4 linked regions of the Arabidopsis thaliana genome follow. The protein of the gene in region 3 interacts with the protein of the main gene of each other region in a pairwise test. Each region holds a gene or a part of one and is shown on either strand. Other genes may lie near its edges.

Region 1 (6,681 bases), on a different chromosome or scaffold from region 3:
AAATAGTTATAAAAATACTATAGAGTAGAAGATATTACATGAGAGAATGGTAAATAATTCAATCCAGTAGTAGTTTAATTTCCATTCTCTTTAAATGCTAAATTTTATTTCAAGCTCACCGTATATTTTTGGCTCAGATAATAAATAACTTTCATCTGCCATAAAACACTAATTTTCATGTTTATTTATATGTTTAGTTAGGGGCGACTTAAGCTACTTATAGTTATAGGTCATGTTCAAAAGTTTAACTATAGATATCTTAAATAAGGTCCATATATATACATAAGAACTTTTTTTGGTAATCACGATCCGTTTAATCTATGTATTTAATTTACACATACTAAAACAATTCAAGGTATAGTCGATCTTATCTGAACGTTGTAGTAAGCATAACTGGTCACCAAAAATATGTTCTTAGTTGAAGTACACACTTGAATCCAACCCAAAAAACCTCGTCAGTGTTGGGATGATACACGAAGTGAAGCCTATAGTTGAAATAGAACGCTAGGAAGCCATTTTTCTAAAAAAAAATCTTAATGAATACTTAGTAGGTGATAGGTACAGATAGAGATACATTAAGGCTTGTGTTAATTTCAAATTACCTTAGGCCCATAATATATGCATATCCTAAAATATACCTTATTTTCTTAATATCTCAGCTTTTTATTTAAAATTTTCAGAAGAGCCAAATCAATTTAACCATATTCAATCTTAATACAGTCTTTAAAACGGTTTTTAAAGGAGAAGCTTCAGGTGGCACGCATCGAACTAGGAAGACCCTCTAAATCAAGGAGAAGTATCAGAAGGCACTTTACTTAAACACCACAGTCTACTGCTTCTACTTGGAGTTGTATTCACTGAATTACCTGCCTTAGCAACTGCAAACAAAAAATAGAAAACCAGTCTCTGTCCCATCGGAGAGGCCTTACACGGGACCAAAGCAAAGGCCTTTGGGGTGCTCTTTAGGGTCACATGAGCTAAGGATGCTACTCGGTGGTGCAAGGGAGTTATAACTCTTTCAAGATTTCTCCCATTCTTGAAAGAATCCAGAAAGCAAGATTCGCAAGTGTTCGGGAATATGCTTCAAGAAGCCCATGCATGACCAATGTCCTGAAAACAAAGAAGAAGGATTTAATATCGACAAATAATTGTATTGTAAAGTATGACATGTTTCAGAACATAAACTAAGAAAGATGTAATTAGTTCTGTTTATGTTTACATTGCCATATTGGATCTTTGTGGCATTAAGAAACGAGTGAGGAAGATTAGAGTGTTTGGATTTGATCTGATTTCTAAGCGCTTCTTTTCGGTTCAAGAGTGATTCACTGCGACCAATTTCAACAATGGTTCTCCTCGTATATATACTCAATGGTACTTCTCCTCCTATATATACAACTTCCGTCCTGAACTCTCTTCAAAATATTTAATCATATAAGTATTTAACCATAATGAAGGCTTGAAAAGTATTGATGTTTTTTGGAAACAAAATCCTATCTGATTTTGGCAGATCTATTTAGTTATGCATTTTAAGAACAAAAAGCTCGTAAAAAATAATTTGTGACCAAACAGAAATGACTTCATTGAAATAGAACTGACTTAAAGGTAAAACCTTCAACTCTTACAACAACTAATTGAAAAGGAAAAGCATAATTAAATACTGGTCTTTTAAAACAAACAAAACACAAAATGCACACTACTGAAACACATCACACATTGTTGTTGTTGTTGTTGTTGGTGGTGGTGGTGGTGGTGGAAGGCATGTGACCGGTGGAAGTAAGACCAACGGTTGGTGGCTGGTGGTAGTTGTAGTAGTTTCCGTCCATGAAAGGGATGTGTGCATGCTCTCCAACATAACCCGCTTATTCATAAGGATATTCTGTCAACATATTCATGAATGGATCATTTTGAAACGGATACTGATTTGGATCCAAACTCATATTCTGGTTCAAATTCATATCATAGTTTCCTTGTTGAATCTGATGATTAAAATCAACAGGAGCTTGGTATTGAACCGGCTCCTGTTGATTTTGATTCAAATTCATATTCTCAAACTGAAAATGATCACTAAAACCAGTAGGGACATAGGGCTGAACCGGCTCATACTGATTCTGATTCATAGGAAGACCGGCACCTGCAACACCAAGAGCTTGGTAGTGAACCGGCTCTTGTTGATTTTGATACAAATTCATATGCTGATATTGAACATTATCACTAAAAACAGTAGGGATATAAGGCTGAACCGGCTCATACTGCAACTGACTCATAGGAAGACCGCCACCCGCGACAGCAAGACTCTGGTAGTGAACGGGCTCATACTGATTCTGAGTCATAGGAAGACCGGCACCCGCAACAGCAAGAGCCTGGTAATGAACCGGCTCTTGTTGGTTTTGATTGAAGTTCATATTCTGATATTGAATATGATCACTAAAACCAGTAGGGACATAGGGCTGAACCGGCTCATACTGATTCTGGTTCACATTCATGTTATGAAATCCAGTAGGAACATTAACCGCAGCTTGATCTGCAACAACAGGAAGATTGGCACCCGCAACAGCAAACAGAGGAGGAACAGTTACCGCAGCTTGATCAGCAACAACAGGAAGATTGGCACCCGCAACAGCAAACAAAGGAGGAACAGTTACCGCAGCTTGATCTGCAACAACAGGAGGATTGGCACCCGCAACATCAAACAGAGGAGGAACAGAAGAAGAAGACTCACCATATTCTGTAAGGAACTTCTTCCTGGCATTAAGCTGATTAAGATATTGATCAGTAAAAAGACTTAAATCTTGAAGGTCCCTTGCACCATACTGTTGCTCACTCATCTTGCCTCCAACGCAATCAAACATAAAATGCTTAAGCTGAGTTTCTCGGTTTTCACGACGTAGACTCTCTAGTTTGTTTTGTTCTTTGGTGATTTGGTCCCGCAAGAAAGTCTCATGACTCATCATCGTCTTGGACCGTTCTGTCGCCGGCTTCTCCATGAACTCCGAAATCACCTCTTGAACACCTTCGGTTGACGGCCACACCGTTGGATTCTCGAACGGACTGTAGATTACCGCACATGCTTTGATGTCACAGAGAGTTGTCAGCTCGTGGAGTTTCTTCCTTATCCCTGCATTCCTCTTCCTGAATGTGGCTCTCCGAAAGTGTCTATCAGGTATGAGTACTAACTTAGTCTTCGTCCTCATTATCTTTATTTTTCTTTTCTTTGGTGTTTGTGTTTGTTTAGTTTCTTGGCCCAAGACTGTTTATATAGCAACGAAAAGGGTGATTTTTTACTCAGGGTGTGGCTTATCACGTTTCTGGACTCATTAATTTGTAGTTACAGCATTAAATCTTTTGGCTACTGTCTTATTAATTGATTAGGCCACTAATTAAAGCTATGACTAAGATTGGATTCTCTTTTCTCTTTACTAAATATAGTTTATCTTCGTATATTACTCACTTTTCTTTTAAGAGTAATATTAAGCTTTGATAAACTGTGAAAATTTCTAATATTTTAAGTGTTTTTCTTTTCTTTTCGAATAGAGTTTTACAGCTTAATTTCCATGTAAAATCATGAATATATAAAAGCTTAGGAACTTTGTTTATCTATAGTAAAATTATTTCGGGAAAGAATTAACGTGTCTTACGAAATATTTAGAACGAGCGAAAATTTTGAAATATGTAGACATTAAAGGAAGCCTACATAGAAAAAAGTTTGTAAACCAATATAATAAAATAATAAATATCATTAAAATTTCTATCATGTTTTAATATATAAAAAATGCTCTTTTATATGTATAAAAATTTATCTTTACAATAATAAAATATAAAAAATAATAATAAAGTAATAAAGAAATTTTTCCTTATAAAATATTAAAATCACAGATTTAGTTATATGAATTAAATTTTTAATAAAATATTTTTAAAAAATCTGCCATGGCCAGAAGGTCCATCTAATTTTGTTTAGTCAATAAGTTGATTTTAATTAAAAGGAAATAAGGGTAAAACTGTCTTTATACATTAATATAATAATATATATGGATTTTTTCCATCTTTTGACTTATACACTAATATGACTATTTATGACATTAAAACGTATCAATTAATGTACACGTGTAAAATCATGATTGGATATAAAAGAAAATCAGTTATTTTAGAGATAAATTATGAATTCATGCATATATTATACCTTTTGGAGCATATATTTTTCTTAATTTGGTTAAAATATTCATTGTACTGCCAGCTAATTATGAGCTGTAAATATTTGAAACTAGAAATTTGACAAGAGGTTTAGAGCACTTCCAATGGTTTTCACATATCCCAAAAAAGTATCCCAACTTTTAAAGTCTTAATATTTTTAATAATTTTAATTTAAAAATAAAAATGAACAATTAAAAAGAGACAATTGTAAAGTTCTAGTTAGTATACCCAAAGTTCTTATTTGAGAAATTTTCTCTTCTTTCTATCTTAAATTTTTTTTTAGTTATGATTATAATGGGGGAGTATCTTATTAAGACCCTCCAATAATTTTCATTTTTATTTATATGTCTAGTTAGGATGTTTGAACTATATATATAGGTCATGTTCAAAAGTTTAGTTAAAGATTTTTTAAATATGGTAAAATAATCTTTTGAAAAGTTATAGGTCCTTATTGAGTTATATGTATATGAAATTTTTTACAAGAACAGTTTTTTGGTAATCAAGATCCATTTGATCTCTATACTTGCTATATTGAAAACAATTATGGTCTGTTCGATTTTCTTTGAGTTAGTAAGCATAATTGGCCTTTAACAATATTTTGTGTTAGTATCGGATGGCACAGTTGAACTTAAATCCAACCCAAAAAACCTCATTAGTGTCGGGATGATAGACGAAGTGAAGCTTGCCATTTTGTTATACTTATTAGGTAGTATGTACAAACGGAAACTCATTAAGGCTTTGTGCTAATTTCAAATTATCCTTAAGCCCATAATATGTACATATCCAACCAAGATAGATCCCTTCTAAATGAAGACTTCTTATACTCCAATCTTGCTAGTGACTTAATGGAAGTGTGCAAAAGATAGTGGCTTGGTGAAAATACCTGTTAGTTGATCATTTGTCGAGATGACAGCTAATGCTTCATTCAAAGATGGAAGTCGGGATAGTAACCTAATTGAGATTCAAATTAGATTTCAAGAAAGTAGTAATTAAAATGATTCTAGTCTAGTATATTATAAATAGATTATGGTTTTGGACATTTTTGTTTTGAATATACCTTATTTTGTAAAGTATTTTCTGGAAGAGACTAATAAATTTAATCATAATCAATCGTATCAATTTTTTTTCCCGGATTAAAAATTTGCTTTTCACCGTGAAGTTATGAACAAAATTGTATGAATTCGTACTTTAACTGCAATATGTTAATACATTTACAACATCTCAGGCTTCATAATTTAAAACCTTCAAAGTAAAGGAGAAGCTTCAGGTGGCACGCATCGAACTAGGAAGACCCTCTAAATCAAGGAGAAGTATCAGAAGGCACTTTACTCAAACACCACAGTCTACTGCTTCTACTTGGAGTTGTATTCACTGAATTACTTGCCTTAGCATCTGCAAACAAAAAATCTAAACCAGTCTCTGTCCCATCGGCTTTGTTCATGTCATCGGTTAAAGAATGCCTTACACGGGACGAAAGCAGAGGTCTCTCAGGTGTCCTATAAGGGTCACGGGAGCTAGGGAAGCAACTCGGTGGTGCAGGAGAGTTAGGGTTGCTTAAAGAATCTTCTTTCAAGATTTCTCCCATTCTTGAAAGAATCCGGAAAGCTAGATTCGCAAGTGTTCGGGAATATGCTTCGAGAACCGCATGACCTATGTCCTGAACACAGAGAAGAAAGATGTTTCAGACCATTGGACTAAGAAAGATGTAGTTAGTTTTGTTTATTTATACCTTGTCATATTGGATCTTTGTAGCATCAAGAAACGAGTGAGGGAGATTAGGGTGTTTGGATTTGATCTGAGTTCTAAGCGCTTCTGCTCGGTTCAAGAGTGACTCATTGCGACCAATTTCAGACAACGGATCTTTAGCGAATGACCACGATGCTCTTACAGGGGATTTACCATTGCTGCCTTGTTCTGTAATCCTTTCTTTCCAAGCAAACATAGCAGATTCTAACTTGTTAACTGTCTCGAGTGCTGCATGTTCGGTTCCCAGATTGAGCGATATAAAGATTTCATCTACTGTTGCAGATTCCACAGCCAACATCTTGTACAGTTCATCACCGAGGCTGTTCTTTCCAGACTGTTACAAAACAAGATTTTAGAGGTAGTTGTATAATTATGACTATCACAAGGGATAATAAAGAGTGCAAGCTTACTTTAGGTATTGCTTCCTTGATAACAATGGGAACTGGCATTTCAAGAAGAATGTTTTCGTTTATGGCTTTTGTAGCTTTGAAGACTTGATAAACAACTTTTCCTTTGTCAAGCAATTTCTTCCTTCCTGAGTTAGAGAGTCCAGGTTTAGGCACTTGTGGCGATGGAAGCCACCATCGTTTGCTCTCACTTGTACTCTTGTTCTTCCCTTCAGCTCTACTACCAATCTCAGAATACCAAAACTCTGTGTTCACCATAGAATCCAGTGTCTCCTGTGGAGTTGTAATGCAACTTTAATCAGATCAGGAAATAGAAGAATAAGAAAAGACAAGATTAACA
Region 2 (6,181 bases), 4.6 Mb from region 3:
TATAAATCATAAAATATAGTAAATCTATCTAAACAAGCTAAATTTTTTTTAGAGTTTAAATAAAAAAAACAATACCAAAAATAAAAAATTCTGCTCTAGATACTTTTTATTCTTAATTGTCTTTTACACTGTTTTTAAAAAAAAAAAACTCTAATAGTACTTTCCAGGAAGACCATTTATGTTATATGATTATTTGACAAAATATAAATGTTTATGGTTATTTTTGCCAATTTCTCTACAACTACTATGTAGAGTTTTTCTATATTATACATTTTTTTATAAATTCCATATAAATATACTTATACCAATTATTTTATTCTAAGAATGTATGTACAGTTGGTTAGACTTTTGATTTTCAATATACACTCTGATAGTCTGATTCATTACTAATGTGACTTGTAATATTCTGATAACATCACAAGTTGGCTACAAAACAATTTCCCATCATGTCCCTTCTAAAATTTTATTATTTAAGTTACCACCCTCAATTATTTATTTTATTTTTCATTTAAGAAATGTTAAGAAATGTGGTATAATTGTACATGCCTTTATTTCTGAAATATTTATACTTCATATGATCCAACTATATTATTTGGGAAGTACATTTTAAATATAACTTTAATTTTTGTAAGTAATTACATAGGTATGCCATTAGAAATAAAATTTTAAAGAGTAAACTAATTTATCTCTTTAAAGATTAAAAAGTCAAATACTAATTTAATTAATAAAATTTAATTTAAAAACAAAATACATTATTAATTTTCAAAAATAATAACCAATCAAAATTAACATATTAGATTTGATATCTAAATTTTAATTAATTTGATTTAATTAGAAAAATGAAATACATTATTAATTTCCAAAAAAGTAACCAATTAAAATCAACAAATTAGATTTGATATCTAAATTATCATATTAATTTTTTATTAATTATTATAATTCACTTCTCATCTTTATATGATTCTATTTTTGCGAAAAAATAATATCATCATTATAAAAAAATAATTAGAGTTTTTTCGCATATGCCATAATTATAATTTTTAAAAACAAATATAAACTGTTCAATACATGAAAAAATATTATAACGGGTGAAAAATATATTTAAGAAAACTTATATTTCTACTGAGTAACGGGTCATAATTTGAAATATTTATATTTAATTTCATACATATTATATTGAAAATTTATAATCTTATATACTACAATAATTAATAACATATTAGATTTTTTTATGTGTATGATGTGATTCAGTTTTTAATACAAGCTGAAAAATCCTAAAATTGACGGGTTTAGATCGATATTAATACAAGATGGTATACTACAGGTGAAACTCTTAAATTAACAATCAAACTACAAGTGTATAATCTTAAACACTAAACAATATAGATAATATCAACAAAACATATACAACTCACAGTTTACTATACATTTAAAATCAAATAAAATAATATCATATATTTTTAAATCATCTTTACGATAAAAATTTTTAGTTTAACTAAAATATAAGCCTACATGCGGTATACTACAAGTTAGTATCTAGATTATAGGGCTTATTGGATCTAAAGACGGATCATCAAAGATTTCCTAAACTGAAGCAAAATATACTGAATACTCAAATATTTATCTGTTACCAAATTATAAACAAATAAGTTCGTAAAACAATTTAATATTTTATATACAAAATCAATTAAATCTTAATCACATAAAAATTAGCACAAAAAAAGTATTCAACAATTAAAAAATTATCAAATCTCTGTGTTATATAAGTTTTGATACTATATTCGAATAAAGTGTAATATTCCTTTTAAGTTTGTATTCTTTAACTAATTTAAACTAACTAATATATTTGCTAATCTTATACCTATCAAAACCGACTATCGTTTCTTATCTTTATAGTATTTTTGCAAAACTTTTTTGGTGGATTTGGGTAAAAATGCATTCGGGTCATATGGTACATTCCCCTATTAAATAAATATGGTCTACTCCTATGTTATCAGCTAAAATATTTAAATTATAATTCAGAGTCATATCATTAGTAAAATTAATATTAATAAAATAAATGGCTTTTTGGCAAGACGGATTTGGAGTGACGGGTTTTTGAATCAACATTAATAAAAAAGTAAAATATAATTAATCCACCGTTTCAATACGGGTTAAATCTTTAATTTATTATTTCTTAAGACCACTAATATTAAACATATCAAATCATCCTAATTTAGAAAAAATTATATAAAACCAAAAATGTTATGTGGTATGTATAATGTTACTATATATAAAATTAAATTATAAACTATAAATGTATTAGAGAATGATACAATTTGCAAAACTTATATATATAAAAAAGAATTCTTAAATTTTAAAAATTATTACTTTAAAAGAAAAATCACAGGACGGGTAAATAAATTATAGAACAGGTTTTATTTTGGAATTGGGTTATATGGTGGATGTATTTGAATCAATTTTTATAAAATTTTAAAATATTATTAATATGTTGTTTTAATAGGGGTTACAACTTCAGTTTTTTAACAATTGTCTCATGGATTCGTGGTATAGCGTTACTTAATAACAATTATAAACTATAAAATATAAATATTTTATAAAAATAAAATTTGCAAATTTTAATATATATTACTTTTAAAAAATAAATCGTCCCGCGGTATACCACGGGTTAAAATCTAGTGTGTATTGTAAAATTCCTATCTATGCAAAAGCATGAGATTTATGAAACGATTTTTTTAGATTAACTCTATGATGCTTAGATCATTCAATAACCTATATTCATTGTTTCCAGTAAAGAAAAAAATCACAAAAATATATTGAAACAGAATCTTTGACTATCTTATAATACCAAATCCTACTAGTTATCACAATATTTGAAATTATATTTTTAAATAATTGTACTAAATGCATTTTGATTAAATAACATTACTAGATTGATATTTCTTGATTATTGTTGTTAAAAAGTAAAATTGTTTATTCTATTTTATTGTTTTCATATTATCATTCTCATATTAGATTAATACAATATTTATCTATGACTTTTGGACAATAGTATTTTCATATGTCAAACCAGTAGTCCTAATACATGTAAAATGAAAAACGGTTTTCATCTGTATCTAAAATCCATTCAGATTTTTTAATATAATGTTCATGCATTAAGCTTGATTTGGACGTTTAGATTTTTTTCTTGTAATAAAAGAAAAGATACCCTATATAACACAATTTTATTAGCAGTAAATATTTTATATTTTTTGACTACCTGTAATCTAAAATTAAATGTCACTTACTAAAAGAAACAAAATTTTGTACCCTTTCATTACTATATATATATAACAGTACATATTCACAATCTCAAAACAAAATACACAAATAAAAAAGAAAAAACAAAGAGAAATATTTTTTCAATGACAAGAAAGAAAGTGAAACTTGCTTACATTTCCAACGATTCTTCAAGAAAAGCGACTTTCAAAAAAAGAAAGAAGGGTTTGATGAAGAAGGTACACGAACTCTCGACTCTTTGTGGCATCACTGCATGTGCGATCATCTACAGCCCGTATGATACCAACCCTGAAGTGTGGCCATCAAATTCCGGTGTGCAAAGGGTGGTTTCAGAATTTAGGACACTCCCAGAGATGGATCAACACAAAAAGATGGTAGATCAAGAGGGTTTTCTCAAACAAAGAATCGCGAAAGCGACAGAAACTTTGAGGAGACAAAGAAAGGATAGTAGGGAGCTAGAGATGACTGAAGTCATGTTCCAATGTTTGATTGGAAACATGGAGATGTTTCATTTGAATATTGTGGATCTTAATGATTTGGGTTATATGATTGAGCAATATCTTAAAGATGTTAATCGCAGGATTGAGATTTTACGAAATTCTGGTACGGAGATTGGTGAATCTTCTTCTGTTGCGGTAGCTGCTTCTGAAGGGAATATACCAATGCCGAATTTGGTCGCTACAACAGCTCCCACCACTACAATTTATGAGGTGGGTTCTTCTTCCTCATTTGCGGCTGTCGCGAATTTTGTTAATCCTATTGATCTTCAACAATTTCGTCATCCGGCGGCTCAACATGTTGGACTTAATGAGCAACCTCAAAATCTAAATCTGAATTTAAATCAGAACTATAATCAAAATCAAGAATGGTTTATGGAAATGATGAACCATCCTGAGCAAATGAGGTATCAGACAGAGCAAATGGGATATCAATTCATGGATGATAACCACCACAACCACATCCATCACCAGCCACAGGAGCACCAACATCAGATCCATGACGAATCTTCCAACGCTCTTGATGCCGCCAACTCAAGCAGCATCATCCCTGTTACTAGTTCAAGTATTACCAATAAAACATGGTTCCATTAGGTTTTTGTTAAATGTTATATTACAATAATTTGGATGAATTGATAAGTGAAATTATGATCAGCTTTAAGTTTTTTTGTGTGTAATAAATTGCATTACAGTTTATGTTCTCAAAGTTGTGAGTTTGTGACTGTGTTATCTTTACTATTATAGTTTTGCAATAATTATGCCTTTTAAAGTCGTAGATGTGTGATACTTTTATTTTTGTTGTTTATTTTTCCATGTGATATGTGTTTTTCCCCACAAATATGTCAACCAAGCTTGGAAAAGCTCTTACCAAACGGGTTTTAGTTACAAATTAACTATCTTAGCTCTCTTTCTTTGTCATACTCAACGCTGATTTTGATATAATTGTCGTCACAAAAACATTCCAAAGACTTGAGAAGAAACAAGAACCATTCAATATCCATACACTAAAAACAAAAATGTTGCAAGAATTCCTGCAACTACAATACTCTATAAACTCTCTCATTGTTAAATAACACCAGACAATCTTAACATCAGCTCTTGGTTTTCCCCAAGATTTGGCTTTGGAGATGTTGGTTATCTTCTAGCAATCTATCATACTCTAGAAGCAGCTCTGCAGACTGTTTCTGTAACGCCGTAACATGTGTTTCAGCAGTTTCGAGTTTCTTCTCTTTCTCTTTTGACTCAGTCTCTGCTTTCTTTAGTCTCTCTGTAATAGATGACAATTTTACTTGCAACTGCTTGATTTCCTTGGATGCTTTCTCCTCTTTCTCCTTCAGTTCGGTTCTTTCTTTCTGGAGCTGTTCAAGTTCTTCTTTCGATGATCCGACGTTGCTTCTCAAATTGATTAGCTTTCTGAGGTAGTGATGCATTCTGTCAATTATAAAGCCGAGAAAAAGTACGACTCCTGCAATGATCATTAAGATTTTTTAGCTTCAAATGTAATTTCATTATGTTACACACTTTATATAGCTCAACATTTTTATGTGTTACATATAGCTAAGAGCTAGATCATATGTGAATGCACTGTAATCAACAAATCAAGATCAATAAAGGAAGTATTTTGTTACTGTTAATAAGGATTCAGGTTCCAAACTTATCAACTACCGAAGCAGCTTCTCAAATCTGGTGAATACTAGCAGAACAGAGCCTTGGAGACAACTATAGATATATTCATATGTGCGATACGAAAACACCGGTACTGTGGTTCTATACATCGACACCACCATCCACTCAATTGGTATACAAACTCTTAATCAAAACATTATTAACTTCTTACAGAAGTGCTCACTCAACTTAAGCTTGCGAATTTGCATTATTCAGATCATTCCTCTATGAACAACAAAGCCTACAAGAATTCAGTAAAAGCTGTATTAGCCCTACTTGAGAGCCATGATCAACACAAAGTCTAGCCAAGATTTCAACTCTTGTTCAGAAACCATAACTAAAAACTAATCAAACAACAAAGTCCTATGGTTCAACTGTTGTTCAGAAGCCAACAGCTAAAGACAAATCAAGACAACAATCAAATAACAAAGCCCTATGGTTCAATTTTTATCACATCAAGAGAAAAAAAGAGAGAAACTGACCCAATAAAGAAGCTTCAAGCAAGTGTGTTCTCCAAAGAACCTGATCCATAGGAGACATTGTCCCAAGCTTTGCACCTTTATTCTGGATCTTGACAATGCTCATAAGATTAGAAAAGAGAATAACAGACATAGTTCCAGCGATTGTTTTCACAGTGGCAGGACCTTTACCCATCTTCATCTGGTCAAGACTTTTAATCACAAGCTCTCTCAAAGGACCAATCTTTATCAACAGTAAGAATGCAATCGCACCTTCCACAA
Region 3 (7,431 bases):
GTTTCGTTGAAAAAGATGCAAAATTCTGTTCAGTTGTATGTGCGAGTGAGCTTCATTTTTAAAAAGTTTTTGATTCTCTCTAGTTAACTTAAAAGTATCGACATGGGTTATTGATTCAATCACGTAATGATTCTCATACAATACATTCTGTATTTTATCATGTAATGATTCAATCACGTAATGATTCTGTAGTTAACATAATGCAAGGTACAAAGGTGGTTGTTGTCAGTTTCAGTTTCAGTTTCAGGAAATGGATTCTCTTGTGTTGCCGTTGTTTTTACGCAGGAGTGACAAACACTTGGTCAGATTGAGATTTATGGCATTGGTTCTGATGTTGAGATGCTTAGAGAAGCTGTTTTGAAGAATGGAGGTGGGTGGCACGGGCATGGGTGGGTTGGTGATGGAAAATGGATTGTAAAGAAAGGTAATGTTAGCTCAACAGGAAGATGTTTGAGCTGCAGTGAGCAGTTAGCTTGTGTAGATACCAATGAGGTAGAAACACAGAAGTTTGTGGATTCTTTGGTGGCTTTGGCTATGGAAAGGAAGGCAAAAATGAATTCATGTGAGTCAGATGTGGTCTTCAGCGAGTTTCAGGTTAGAGAAAGAATTGATGATTCCTTGATTCTCTTAGCTTGCTTATAATAAGTCTTGGACATTAAATATTAATGAAAGTTTACTTTTTGTTTAGTTAACTTTGATAAGCATTTAGAGATAGGTATAGTGCTTGGAGTTTCTACTGCGAATTGTCATCAATCTTGAGTATTCAAATGTCGATATTTATTGAATGTTGCTATCTTATTTGGCAGGACTGGCTTGAGAAACATGGAGATTACGAAGCTATAGTAGATGGAGCAAATATTGGGCTCTACCAACAAAATTTTGTAGATGGCAGTTTCAGTCTTTCACAGGTTCTCCCATCTATTTTATGTATAAAAATATCAACAAATTTTCTTTTTTTTCATTTTTTTTTTTGTTTTAGAAACCCACTTAAGTATTCCACCAATGGACCACCAAATCTTTAAAAACTCTAAAAAAATCTCTAAACTACAAAACTATCCAAATTTATTAATAAAAAATACATAGAAACTTTATTTAGAAACTAATCACTGGACTTGCTCTTAGTCCCATGATTTTAGAGAGACTAGCCTTTGAGGTTAATGTGGGAAACTTTTGTTCCTATAGCAGTTCCTTATGTTCGAATGTCATGTATCATATCATATGATTGGTTTATTCATTCCAAAGAATGATTTCGTGAGGTTTTGTTTTTGTATCAAAATATTGATTTTCCGTGGTATATTTAACGCATTTTTATTTTCAAGATCAATCAATTAATTTATGCTTTTAAATTTACAATAAATCAAAGTACATCATTTATTATTTTCAAGATAAGTGGAGCAAAAAGCAACTTGAGATTAACTTTTTAAAAGATATAGCACAAAAATAATTAATCAAAATATATAATTTATAATTTTCTAAATCTTGGTGAAAAACTCAGGAATTCATTATTTTAGGGAGTAATAATATAAAATATTGTATGATTTTCTTCTATATGATTTATTAATTATTTTAATTGGAATTGCATCTCGGCAATGACACAACGATGATTCTAGCAAATACCGCTAGGTTATTAGTCATGGTCTAAAGACTTCAATATTTTATATTATTTTTTTACATTTTATTTGATTAAACTAAAACCATTTGTATTTTTATTTTACATACTAATAAATATGTTACCAAAGAGTATAAAAGGTCTTTCAATTATGTGTATATATTAGTGAATTTTTCTAATCCTTTGGCAGTTTTCTATAAATAATATTTCTTAAAGTACGCAAATATGTTTATATAGCAAACAGTTCTCAAAAATATCACACTTAAGTTTGATCTTTCAAAAATACTACTTAAGTTTTTGGTTTTCCAAAAATATCACAAAACTAAATTAAATTTTCAACTTTCAAATCCTAACCTTAAACACTAAAATCCTACCCTTAAAAACTACACCCTAAATCTAAAATAGGTAACCCAAACCTAAAATTTTAAATTTTGAACTCTTGGACATCAATTTGTTGTTTTGTGGTATTTTTGAAAAACAAATTTTTTTTGGTAGTATCTTTGAAATATTAAACTAATAGTGACATTTTTGGCAACAAAACTTAAAAAATGTGGTATTTTGAAGAATTTATCTTATATAACAAATATACAAATTAATAATTACTGCAAAAGTAGTTTGTCTCGTCTAAATTTTATGGATTATATTTGTAGAAAATTATTGTTTCCTTTTTTAAATTATTTGGTATATTAACTATTTAAAAGTTTCATAAATAAGAATTTTAAGATATTTAGTTCAATCACATATTTCTAAAGATCTCATATATATTTATTATTTTATGATATCAGTATAACTATATTTACCATAATATTTATAACTCTAAAATCAATTTCAGAAAATATACCAATTAACTATCAAAAATAATAAGTTAACAAAAATCATTGTACCTCAGATAAAACTTTAATACTGTAATCAATACTGAAAGTTTTTAAGATTAATCAATTCTATCTAGTTCAGTATTATGATAAGATTCTTTTAAAGATCACTATTTTATGCATACTTTAATAAACATGCCCGTATTATATTATCATCGGTAAAATAATTTTAATTGGAGATATTATCTGAAACAACTACCATTTCACTATTTTTGGATGACATTTACATTCTACATAGATAAGTTGAATATTTCATATTAATTACTATATAATTGATATTTTGTGTAATTTAAGAGAATCTGGCTTCAAATTATCAAAAAATAATAAAGTCATTCAAATAATTTTTATCAATCCATCAAATGAGATAGGGGAGCTATAAATATTATTGGAAATAAGATATCACCATTTTATCATAAATATATGTTATTATCAGTAACAAATTTATCGCCAATAACAATAGAGGAATGTATTCCATTATTATTTTAAAAACAGAGTTAGTAAGTAATGTAACGGCATATATCTATTGTCAATTTATCAGAAATAATAATGAATTTGGAATGGTCTTCATATTCTATATAACGGTCCAAACAAAATAATTCTATCTTAAAGCTCTCAAAATTATAGTGTTATCTCATGGTATCCGTTTTTGACGATTTTCATTTTTTCTGTATTTATCACATAAATAACTAAGTTTTCTATATTCATAAAGGAACATTATTTAGTGCAAAATTCATAAACTCATTTCATCCGATAAACAATATATCGAATGTTTTTCCTTGAATCTAATCTTTTATAATATACTCTCTTAAAATAAATATATAAATAAACTATTTTTAGATGATAATTACATCATATAAAGGTTAGTGTGTATATATATATAAAGAGAGAAGGATATATGTGTATGGAACACAAAGAAATAGTTCATAGTCATGCCGGGCTTAATCATATATATATCTCAAACCTATCACAATTGTGGCCGAGTTGCTAGAATCACATAACAATTTTATCATAAATATTTTTCATTAGTGATAACAAATCAATCGCTAATAACGTAAGAAAAATATGTTCTATCTAAAAAGTAGCAAAGAATATGATTGCATAAATAATGTAACGGAGTATATTTGTTACAACAATTGCTAAAAAAATCATACAATCATTTTATCATAAATAGTTTTCATTATCGATAATAGATCAATCACCAATAACGAGAGAATACATAAGAAGACCCTTTAACAAAAAAAAACGAGAGAATACATGTTTTACTTTAGAAAATAGCGACAAATAATTTCAGATAACAATATAACGATTTTTTAATATATTAAAATATGAGATTAAGTTTAGAATATTAAACAATTAACGAAAATGATGTATCAGTAAATCAAAAACATATTGACCATATTACGCTTGTTACTTGTTAGTAATTTTTTTTACGCCGCCATTTTTGTTGCTATATTTAAAAAAAATATTCCAATAATATTACTATTAGATATGAAAAGATCACTACTAATTAAAGGTGGATCTTTCTGGCAGATTTGGATACATTGTACAAATGAAATGAGAAGATAATAGTCAAATAAATTTGTATTGCATACCATATATTGATTGAATATTAAGATTATGAAATGTTACAAAAATAGTAAAATTCAAATTCAAATAAAAATATAATAAATCAAAGTTGAAATTTACTCATAGACAACTCAAATATTAATTATTTGGTTTGTAATATTCTGCTATAAATACATGAGCATTTTCATTCTACAAACACCAATCCTATATTTTAGCTTCTCAAATATCACTAAAAATGGTGAAAAAAAGCAAAGGTCGTCAAAAAATAGAGATGGTCAAAATGAAAAATGAAAGTAACCTTCAAGTTACTTTTTCAAAAAGAAGATCTGGACTTTTCAAAAAGGCTAGTGAGCTTTGCACACTTTGTGGTGCAGAAGTGGCCATAGTTGTGTTCTCACCTGGTCGAAAAGTCTTTTCTTTTGGTCATCCAAATGTTGATTCTGTAATTGATCGATTCATAAACAATAACCCTCTACCTCCTCACCAACACAACAACATGCAACTTAGAGAAACTCGTCGAAATTCGATTGTTCAGGATCTGAATAATCATCTTACTCAGGTAATCTTACTCTTATTTTTAAGTATGATTAAAACAAAATAGTGTTTTCTATGAATCATAAAACCCAAATTTCTATGGTTAAATTCTTTTTTTATTTAATATATATAAGTAAAAGTTTTCGCAGGTGAATAAATAATATATAAAAAACATTAGACAGTCTTTTTCTCCATAACTAGAATAGATTTATATCCTAATAGTATGTTAGATAAAAATGCCGATGAAATGTTATAGAATCATATGGTATGAAAATTAATAATATTATTGGTGTTTTTATTTGTATATATATTTGCAGGTGTTGAGTCAATTAGAAACAGAGAAAAAGAAGTACGACGAGTTAAAGAAAATAAGAGAAAAGACAAAAGCCCTTGGGAATTGGTGGGAAGATCCCGTTGAGGAACTTGCGTTATCTCAACTCGAGGGGTTCAAAGGTAATCTTGAAAATTTGAAGAAAGTAGTTACAGTCGAAGCTTCCAGATTTTTTCAGGCAAATGTTCCAAACTTCTATGTGGGAAGTTCTAGTAATAATGCTGCTTTTGGGATTGATGATGGTAGTCATATCAACCCTGATATGGATCTCTTTAGCCAAAGAAGAATGATGGACATAAATGCCTTCAACTACAACCAGAACCAAATTCACCCTAATCATGCATTACCACCCTTTGGAAACAATGCTTATGGTATTAATGAAGGGTTTGTTCCAGAATACAATGTGAACTTCAGACCAGAGTATAACCCAAACCAAAACCAAATCCAAAACCAAAATCAAGTTCAAATCCAAATCCAAAACCAGAGTTTTAAGAGAGAAAACATCTCTGAATATGAACATCATCATGGTTATCCTCCCCAGTCTAGATCTGATTACTATTAACCCTTTGTTGTGTGATCCAACTTAAGTCTCTAGACAAAAAGTTGTGTGTTTAGGTTATCTTTATTTCTTCTTATTTATGTTTCTACATGTGTTGTTGTTGTTTTTCTTGTTCTTGTTTAAGTATTATGTTGTATTGTGTTGTTTCATTTCAAAATTATGTTATTGCTATATATAAATTATATGTGTCGGAAACAAATGCATTACGCCTCTGAAAATACTAGTCTGCCATGGTTACGTTTACGCATTTTGGGCAATTGCAGAATTTTAAACACAGAAAGGTAATAATCATAATCAATCATGTACTATTTTAAAATAAATTTGCAAAAAAGCATAATGAAAATTTCTGTGTGCACCATTTTTCAACTAAAATAGTACATACATTATCCCACATATTTTGGTACATTGTAAAAAATGAAATGACAGCATTACAATGGCTTTCCCTCTAATTTCATTCCTTATAATGATGAAATACAGATATTGTGAAATATTCCTAAAATGATAAAAATCTAATTCTAATATAGAAAATATAATAAAATTAATGTTAAATTTAAGGAAAATATAATAAAATTAAGGTTAACTTTTAGTTGAAAAAAAGGCTAAATCTATGTCACATCATTCTATTTAATTAATCCGTGCAGTATACTCTAATATTTATTTTCCTTAAAAAAGATTAAATCATCATCAAATATCTAGTATGTATTAGATATCAATCTAAAAATAAATAAAAAAATTGTAAGAACAATACAAGAGTATCCACATATGTAAGAACTTAAGAAATGAAATTTTCAAAATCAAGCAAAATACTTCAAAACTAATATATATATTGTAATTTTGAAAACCTTAAAATCCAATGGCATGCTTTACACATCCCATAAACTCACATATCTCTCGAGTAAAACGGTACACATGAGACATCCATGGAGACCAGAAGAAACACAAACAAACACATAAATGGATTCAAAGACAAAGATAAAGTTGAAGTTCTTTTGTGAGCAAAACACACTTTAAAACATAGGAAATAAGCTTCTTTATGGGTATCAAACCCTAGTGATTGTAGGAGAAGAATCAGGCTGGCTCACAGAAGATGACTTTGATGCTTCCATCATGAGAGCAGCTTGCTCTAAACAACTCTTGTTATCGTCATTCGCATTCTCCACTTCCTCTTTCGTGTATAAGTGTATCTTCCACACCACATTGCAGAAATCACTATCCATAGCAGAAAGCCAATTTCAAGTTAGGAGAAAAGAAGTTGTGATTGACCTTTAGAAGGTATGTATAAAGAACTTACTGCCATGGATCATCGCCAACGACCATCATATCGTTCTCACTATCAGTATATAAGATCCTCCATCCTTTTTCAGGATCCCTGAGAAGCCCTTCCATGTTGAACAGCCGTTCAAGCTCCATAAGGAGATCATCATACCCGTTAAGTCGCGACAAATCAATAGCTCTCCCCACTTGGCTTCCTTGCTTGTGAACCTTTTGATAACAATTCAACACAAGAACTGATTAGAAGAGACATCTAAAACTGCAACTCAAAGTAGCCAAAGAGATGATAAAGAAAACGTTTTACCTTTGTACAGATTCTTTTGCTCGAGCTTTGCGGCTTAGATGCAGGTGTCTCCACTGGTAAGGAGAATCCGAAAAGTTTACATCCTGATGAAGCATTCATATTCAACTCACTGCCTTTCTGTTTTCCCATCATATCAATCTTGAATGGCAAATCAGCTGTAACATTATTTGGTAGGCCACCTTCATTTTGTGCATCAAACTTTCTAGTCTCTTCACCAAAGTTTATTGCACGTGAAGGGGGACCCGAGGATTGGTTTCCCGCATTGTATGGATTCTGATACGGAACATGAGTGCTCCTAATCCCATGCAAAGCTAGCGGATAGTAACTTGACTTGTTGGCTTGGTAAGCAAAGGGATTAGGAGCAGCAGCTGGACTGAAACCAGC
Region 4 (5,885 bases), about 15 Mb from region 3:
TAATCAAGGCGCAATATAAAATCTCTCTCTTCCCACTCTAGTTACTCTTTATATTTCCATCTTCTACGACACATAGGGCAATGGCCATAGCTCTGATACCATGTAATTGTATGAATCTCCGTGAATGGAAAGTTATGTATTGAACATATATATATAGGGTTACATGAGATAAGCATAAATCTGTTCATAAGATATTAGATATATACAAATATAAGATTCTCATATATCTAATCTAACAGGCAATAATCCCCGAGGAGTTTACTTAGAGGGCAATCATCCTCAGGGAGTTTGCAGTCAGGACAAGAAGCATCAAATGGCATCCGACATAACCCACATGTCTCATCTTGAGCATCCCATGTACCCCATGCCATCTAAAGTTTCTCACAATGTAATAGTTTTGGTGTATGAACCGTAAGAGAATCCAACAAAGGATTATTGAAATAGAAAATAGTCAAAATGCTATAATTTGAAATAGTTCATTAGAGCTTTATTGTGCAAAAATATAAAAAGAGGGAAAATAACTTAGATTGTCACCAAAACAAAGAGATTGTGGTTAATATTTCATAAAATGGATGAACGAGAGTTGTTTACATCTTTTAGACACATAACAATCCTATTTATATCACTTTCCAAAGAAACCCTAACACACATAGGCTTACAATAACACACATTAGATTTGTTTTGGATTTGTGTTTAGCTTTTAATTCCCTTGAATGGTCTTACATAAATTAAAATTGCATGTAATACTGAGAGTCAATGAATTTACTCTGTTTTTGAGTTTGAAAACATTGTAACACTGAGAGTCCATGAAAAACCTGTGTTTGAAAAAACAAATACTAATTGCAGGCGCATTGATCAACTGATCTTATTCTGCCCTATATGAATCAGTTGAGAGTTGATAAGAAGAATCCTCATAAGAAACTACTAGAAAGTCATCAACATCACTAACCAAAATACTCTTGGGCTTTCCAAGTCCAATCTAACTTCCACATTAATATGATATTGTCCGTTTTGGGCTAAGTGGCTAAACCCTCACAATTTGTTTATTGGGCTCCTAAGGTTGAATAGTGGAATATAGATTTAAACAACTTCTTCAACAGGTTCAAGAAGATTTCTTTTAAAGTTTTAGATCTAAACAAATATGTGGAGACAACAAACAAAAATCCAACGTACTCGGAATAATCTGAAATTTGATAGCATGTTCGGGAGACGAGAACTAAGGGATCAAATTTTGGTTCAGATGGTGAAATGAACTAAGTCGTTTTAGGAGTTAATTCGTAAGCTTATTGAACTATGTTTGGTTAAAGTTACTAAGTTTAAATTTCTCGTTCTGTTTTTTAACCACATAATAACGAATATTTTACATAGAATAATATAGAGAGAGGATGAGGAAGAAAGTGAGAAAATAACGAGGAAGATGAAGATGAAGACTATAACGAAGAAGTGAACGAGAAAGTAATGATGACAACGGCTAAAAGAAAATTAATAATTAAGATGACAAGAATGAATATGAAAAGTAAGAAACAACGAATGTGAAGAGAAATACAAAGACATATGTGTTGACATTCAATTGAATATGAAAAAATAAAATTGATTTATGATTCTTTCAAATAAATTCGATTCTTAAACACTACTGATTTTTATAATTTTAATATAGTGTATTTGAAATAAAATTGAATTTTTACTTCGATTTAAAAAATATAATTAATTGTATGTATTTCTTACCGAAATATATCAAAAATACACACGTATAGCGTGGGTACAAAACCTAGTTACAAATACAAAGATTAAATATGTGGGCGAATCTAATTATTTTGAATGGTTTATAAATGCTAGTTCAAATCCACATGTTAGATTTTGAAAATTTCATGGCATTTTAAATTTTATATAGATTTCAAAATCTTTGGCAAAAGGTAATAATATAGATTTCCAAATTAATTAACATACACAAACTAATACTCCCTCTGTTTTGAAATAGTTTTCGTTTATGGTGTTTTTACAGAAATTAAAAAATCAATTTTTTTTTATTTTACCCTTGTTTAATATTTTTTTTATTGGTAATGACATAAAAACAATAAGAATATAATTGGAATTTTTACCAAACATCTACATTAAAAATCTAAACCGATAAATATTATCAAACAAAATTTTAATGCTAGAACGAAACCTAAACTAATACGGAAGGAGTAATATCCTCTTAAGAATGTTTTTTTTTTAAATTACTTCCGTAGTTACCCTTTAAAAACATTTTTTTAATTGATTCTTGACCTTTTTTGTTATACTTTGTTTGCAAAAAAAACTTAAAAAATCTTTATGAAAATGATTTTTCAGTCAAGATTACCCACCACAATATAAAGTAAAATCATCTAGATATATATTCTATGTATGTTCAAACTATGTAATATTTATCTTTATTATATGTAGATATGTTTTCCATACATATAACATTTCAGAAAAAATAATGATAAAAATATTTGTAAAGTAAATGTTTTCCACATAAGATATGTTTGGATAATTATTAGTAATAACAATTATTTTAAAAAATATTTTATGAACCAGATAAAGAATAGTCGTTCGGTCAACTGGTCATGGATAAAAACTATTTTAAAAACTCAGCACTATAAGACTATAAGTCTATAAGTCTTTTTGAACAAGTGTCAGTTCTTGTTATGCAAAATTTTGGTATTAAGAAGTAACTATACCCAAAAGTTAACAAGGACAATTATTCAGTTAAAGTGTAACTATACTTTTCACAAACAAACTAAAAAACTTGTAACTAGATTAGTAGACTCCTTAATTCCTAAGTAAAAAATAAAAAATTGAAAAAAAAATTTACTTCTAAACATATATATATTTCTTTCCATTATCGTATTACCAATTTTGATATCCCTAAAAAGGTATGATATATATATGGTTGAACTGAGATAAATTTTGCTTAATTCCAACAATCAGATCTTCTATATAAAAAGCACTTCTCCATTCAAAAGTATAACACACAAAAAAATAAAGTCATGACGAGACAGAAAGTGAAAATGACTTTCATAGAAAATGAAACAGCAAGAAAATCAACATTCAAGAAAAGAAAGAAAGGTCTTTTGAAGAAAGCTCAAGAGTTGGGAATTCTTTGTGGCGTCCCGATCTTTGCTGTCGTCAACAGTCCGTACGAGCTGAACCCGGAGGTGTGGCCATCGAGAGAGGCTGCGAACCAGGTGGTGTCCCAATGGAAGACGATGTCGGTGATGGACAAGACCAAGAAGATGGTGAACCAAGAGACCTTTCTCCAACAGAGGATCACCAAAGCAACCGAGTCTTGGAAGAAGTTGCGGAAAGAGAACAAAGAGTTGGAGATGAAGAACATTATGTTTGATTGTCTTAGTGGCAAAACTTTGGTTTCTAGTATCGAAAAAACTGAGCTTCGAGATTTTGGTTATGTCATTGAACAACAACTCAAAGATGTTAATCGTAGGATCGAGATTCTGAAAAGGAACAATGAACCATCTTCCGCCCTCGTTCCTGTTGCTGCCCCTACAACATCTAGTGTCATGCCTGTGGTTGAGATGGGTTCTTCTTCGGTTGGATTTTACGACAAGGTTCGAGATCAAATTCAAATTACTTTGAATATGAAACAGACCACAAATGATTTGGATCTGAACAAGAAACAGTGGTGAGCCATCGTTGATCTTATTTTAAGTTGTTGTCATTTCAACTATCAATAAAAAGTTATTGTTTTAGTTCTGTTTGTTTAAGTTACATGTTTGGGTTGGTTTCACATGTAGTTGTATTTTCTCATGAATGAAATTTATTTTTCTTTCGTTAATTAATGTTTTCTCCTTATATATAATCGTTATGAATAAATGCATGCATCATATCAGTTCTTAAAACATGTTTTCTATACAGTAATGGCACAAGAATTGCATTCTCTGAACATAAACACAAATGGAAACCAAGCCATTGTGTCCAGTCTCAAATATTTGTAATTTAGATCCATCACTTTTCGACAACCAAGCTCGTTCAAGATTTAAGAGGTTTAATTCTGTATAAAAGGTCGTGATTTAAGACTTAACACTCCATTAAGTTTGAATAACATTGAACTAATTGAGGTCAAGTAAACCTAAATAAGAATTTATTCGCCAAAAACAATATGTTGATAACTAGGTTTGGCAATAAAATATTCAGATTTTAAATTAGGATTTTTACTAGCCAAATTGCGTAAGTTGAGATTTTTATTGGGCAGAATACGTATAATTGATTTTGCCAAATGAGGGCCAACATTGATAAACTTAACACTCCATTAAGTTTGAATAACATTGAACAAATTGGGGTAAAGTAAACCTAAATAAGAATTTATTCGCCAAAAAAAATAAGTTGATAACTATTTCTGGCAGTAAAAATATTGAGATTTTGTATTGGCCAAATTGCGTAAGTTAGGATTTTTACATGCCAAATTCCGTAAGTTGGGATTTTGATAGGCTAGAATGCGTATAATTGATTTTGCCAAATTAGGGCCAACAGTAATCAAACTTAACACTACATTAAGTTTGACTAACATTGAACAAATTGGGATAAAATAAACCTAAATAAGAATTTATTCGCTAAAACAAATAAGTTGATAACTATTTTTAGCAGTAAAAATATTGAGATTTTGTATTAGCCAAATTGCGTAAGTTAGAATTCTTACAGGCCAAATTGCGTAAGTTGGACCGCCAAATTGTGTAAGTTGGACCGGCCAAATTGCGTAAGTTGGGATTTTGATAGACAAAATGCATATAATTGATTTTGCCAAATTAGAGCCAACATAATCAAACTTAACACCCCATAAAGTTTGAATAACATTGAACTAAATGAGGTAAAGTAAACCTAAATAAAAATTTATTTCCCAAAACAAATAAGTTGATAACTATTTTTTGCAATAAAAATATTCAAATTTTGTTTTCGCCAAATTGCGTAAGTTAAGATTTTTACTGACCAAATTGTGTAAGTTGTGATTATTATGGGTCAAAATGTGTATGTTGAGATTTTTTTTACCTTTTCTCATTTGACGAAGGTAATATAGTTAGTTGCTACAAAAATAGTTTTATTTTTAAAGTTATAATAGGGACAACTGTATTCTAAAATATAAAGTTTAATGAGTAATAGCCAAAGGTTTGCATAACCAAAATAGAATCTTGGTTTGAGTGGGTAATTATATTTTTTATAAAAAATTTTTTACTAGACTCCATAATTGCTATCTAAAAAATGATAATCATAGTCGAATCACGAATGGTAAACCTACTTTGTCAAAATAGTATACTCTCTTTGTTTCATATTAAAGGATGTTTTACATATTTTATTTAGGTTCACAATATAAGATGTTTTAGAAAATATATGTATAAGCATTTTAAAAAGTGACCAACTTATTCATTTTGACCAACTAAATCATCATTTTTAATTGATTTTTCTGAATTAGAGACAACGGTTTAAGTTTAAATTAAATTGAACTAATTCAGGTCAAGTAAACCTAAATAAGAATTTACTCGCCAAAACGCGTAAGTAGAGAGTTTTTTTACTCTTCCCATTTAACTAAGGATAATATAGTTAGTTTATATAAACATAATTTTATTTTGTAAGGGTAAACTATATTTTTACAAAATATAAAGTTTAATCACTAAAATATACCCAAAGTTTTGTGTAACAAAAGTAATTATAGTTTGATTGGGTCTATAACTCTTATAAATAAAAGGCTAGACTCATTAAGTGCTATCTTTCTTTTTGGAAAAATTAAAATTAAATATATATAAATATTTTAAAAGTCGTCAACTAATTCGTTTTGAATCACTTATCATCTTTTTTAAATTAATTTTTCCGAATTGAACTAACGGTTATCAAACTAAACACTCCATTAAATT

The links.
Region 1: the proteins of AGL62 (region 3) and AGL92 interact in a two-hybrid assay, tested with the Arabidopsis thaliana proteins (one large-scale study listed by BioGRID).
Region 2: the proteins of AGL62 (region 3) and AGL80 interact in a two-hybrid assay, tested with the Arabidopsis thaliana proteins (one large-scale study listed by BioGRID).
Region 4: the proteins of AGL62 (region 3) and AT5G26630 interact in a two-hybrid assay, tested with the Arabidopsis thaliana proteins (one large-scale study listed by BioGRID).

What each region holds. Positions count from the first base shown.
Region 1 is NC_003070.9:11,320,986-11,327,666, forward strand, and holds AGL92 (AGAMOUS-like 92), read right to left. Parts: upstream 3,192-6,681; coding exon 1,934-3,191; intron 1,844-1,933; coding exon 1,707-1,843; downstream 1-1,706. Other genes in the region: ROPGEF14 (RHO guanyl-nucleotide exchange factor 14), read right to left, coding at 5,489-5,845, 5,918-6,268, 6,345-6,614. UniProt on the Arabidopsis thaliana protein: Putative transcription factor.
Region 2 is NC_003076.8:19,737,014-19,743,194, reverse strand, and holds AGL80 (AGAMOUS-like 80), read left to right. Parts: upstream 1-3,353; 5' UTR 3,354-3,404; coding exon 3,405-4,370; 3' UTR 4,371-4,549; downstream 4,550-6,181. Other genes in the region: AT5G48660 (B-cell receptor-associated protein 31-like protein), read right to left, coding at 4,868-5,241, 5,924-6,181. UniProt on the Arabidopsis thaliana protein: Probable transcription factor. Controls central cell differentiation during female gametophyte development. Required for the expression of DEMETER and DD46, but not for the expression of FIS2.
Region 3 is NC_003076.8:24,302,047-24,309,477, forward strand, and holds AGL62 (AGAMOUS-like 62), read left to right. Parts: upstream 1-3,334; 5' UTR 3,335-4,282; coding exon 4,283-4,606; intron 4,607-4,898; coding exon 4,899-5,474; 3' UTR 5,475-5,670; downstream 5,671-7,431. Other genes in the region: AT5G60430 (antiporter/ drug transporter), read left to right, coding at 340-594, 807-1,022; ARF4 (auxin response factor 4), read right to left, coding at 6,512-6,680, 6,763-6,953, 7,048-7,431.
Region 4 is NC_003076.8:9,347,804-9,353,688, forward strand, and holds AT5G26630 (MADS-box transcription factor family protein), read left to right. Parts: upstream 1-3,008; 5' UTR 3,009-3,011; coding exon 3,012-3,668; 3' UTR 3,669-3,817; downstream 3,818-5,885. Other genes in the region: AT5G26640 (anaphase-promoting complex subunit 11 RING-H2 finger protein), read right to left, coding at 38-92, 238-371.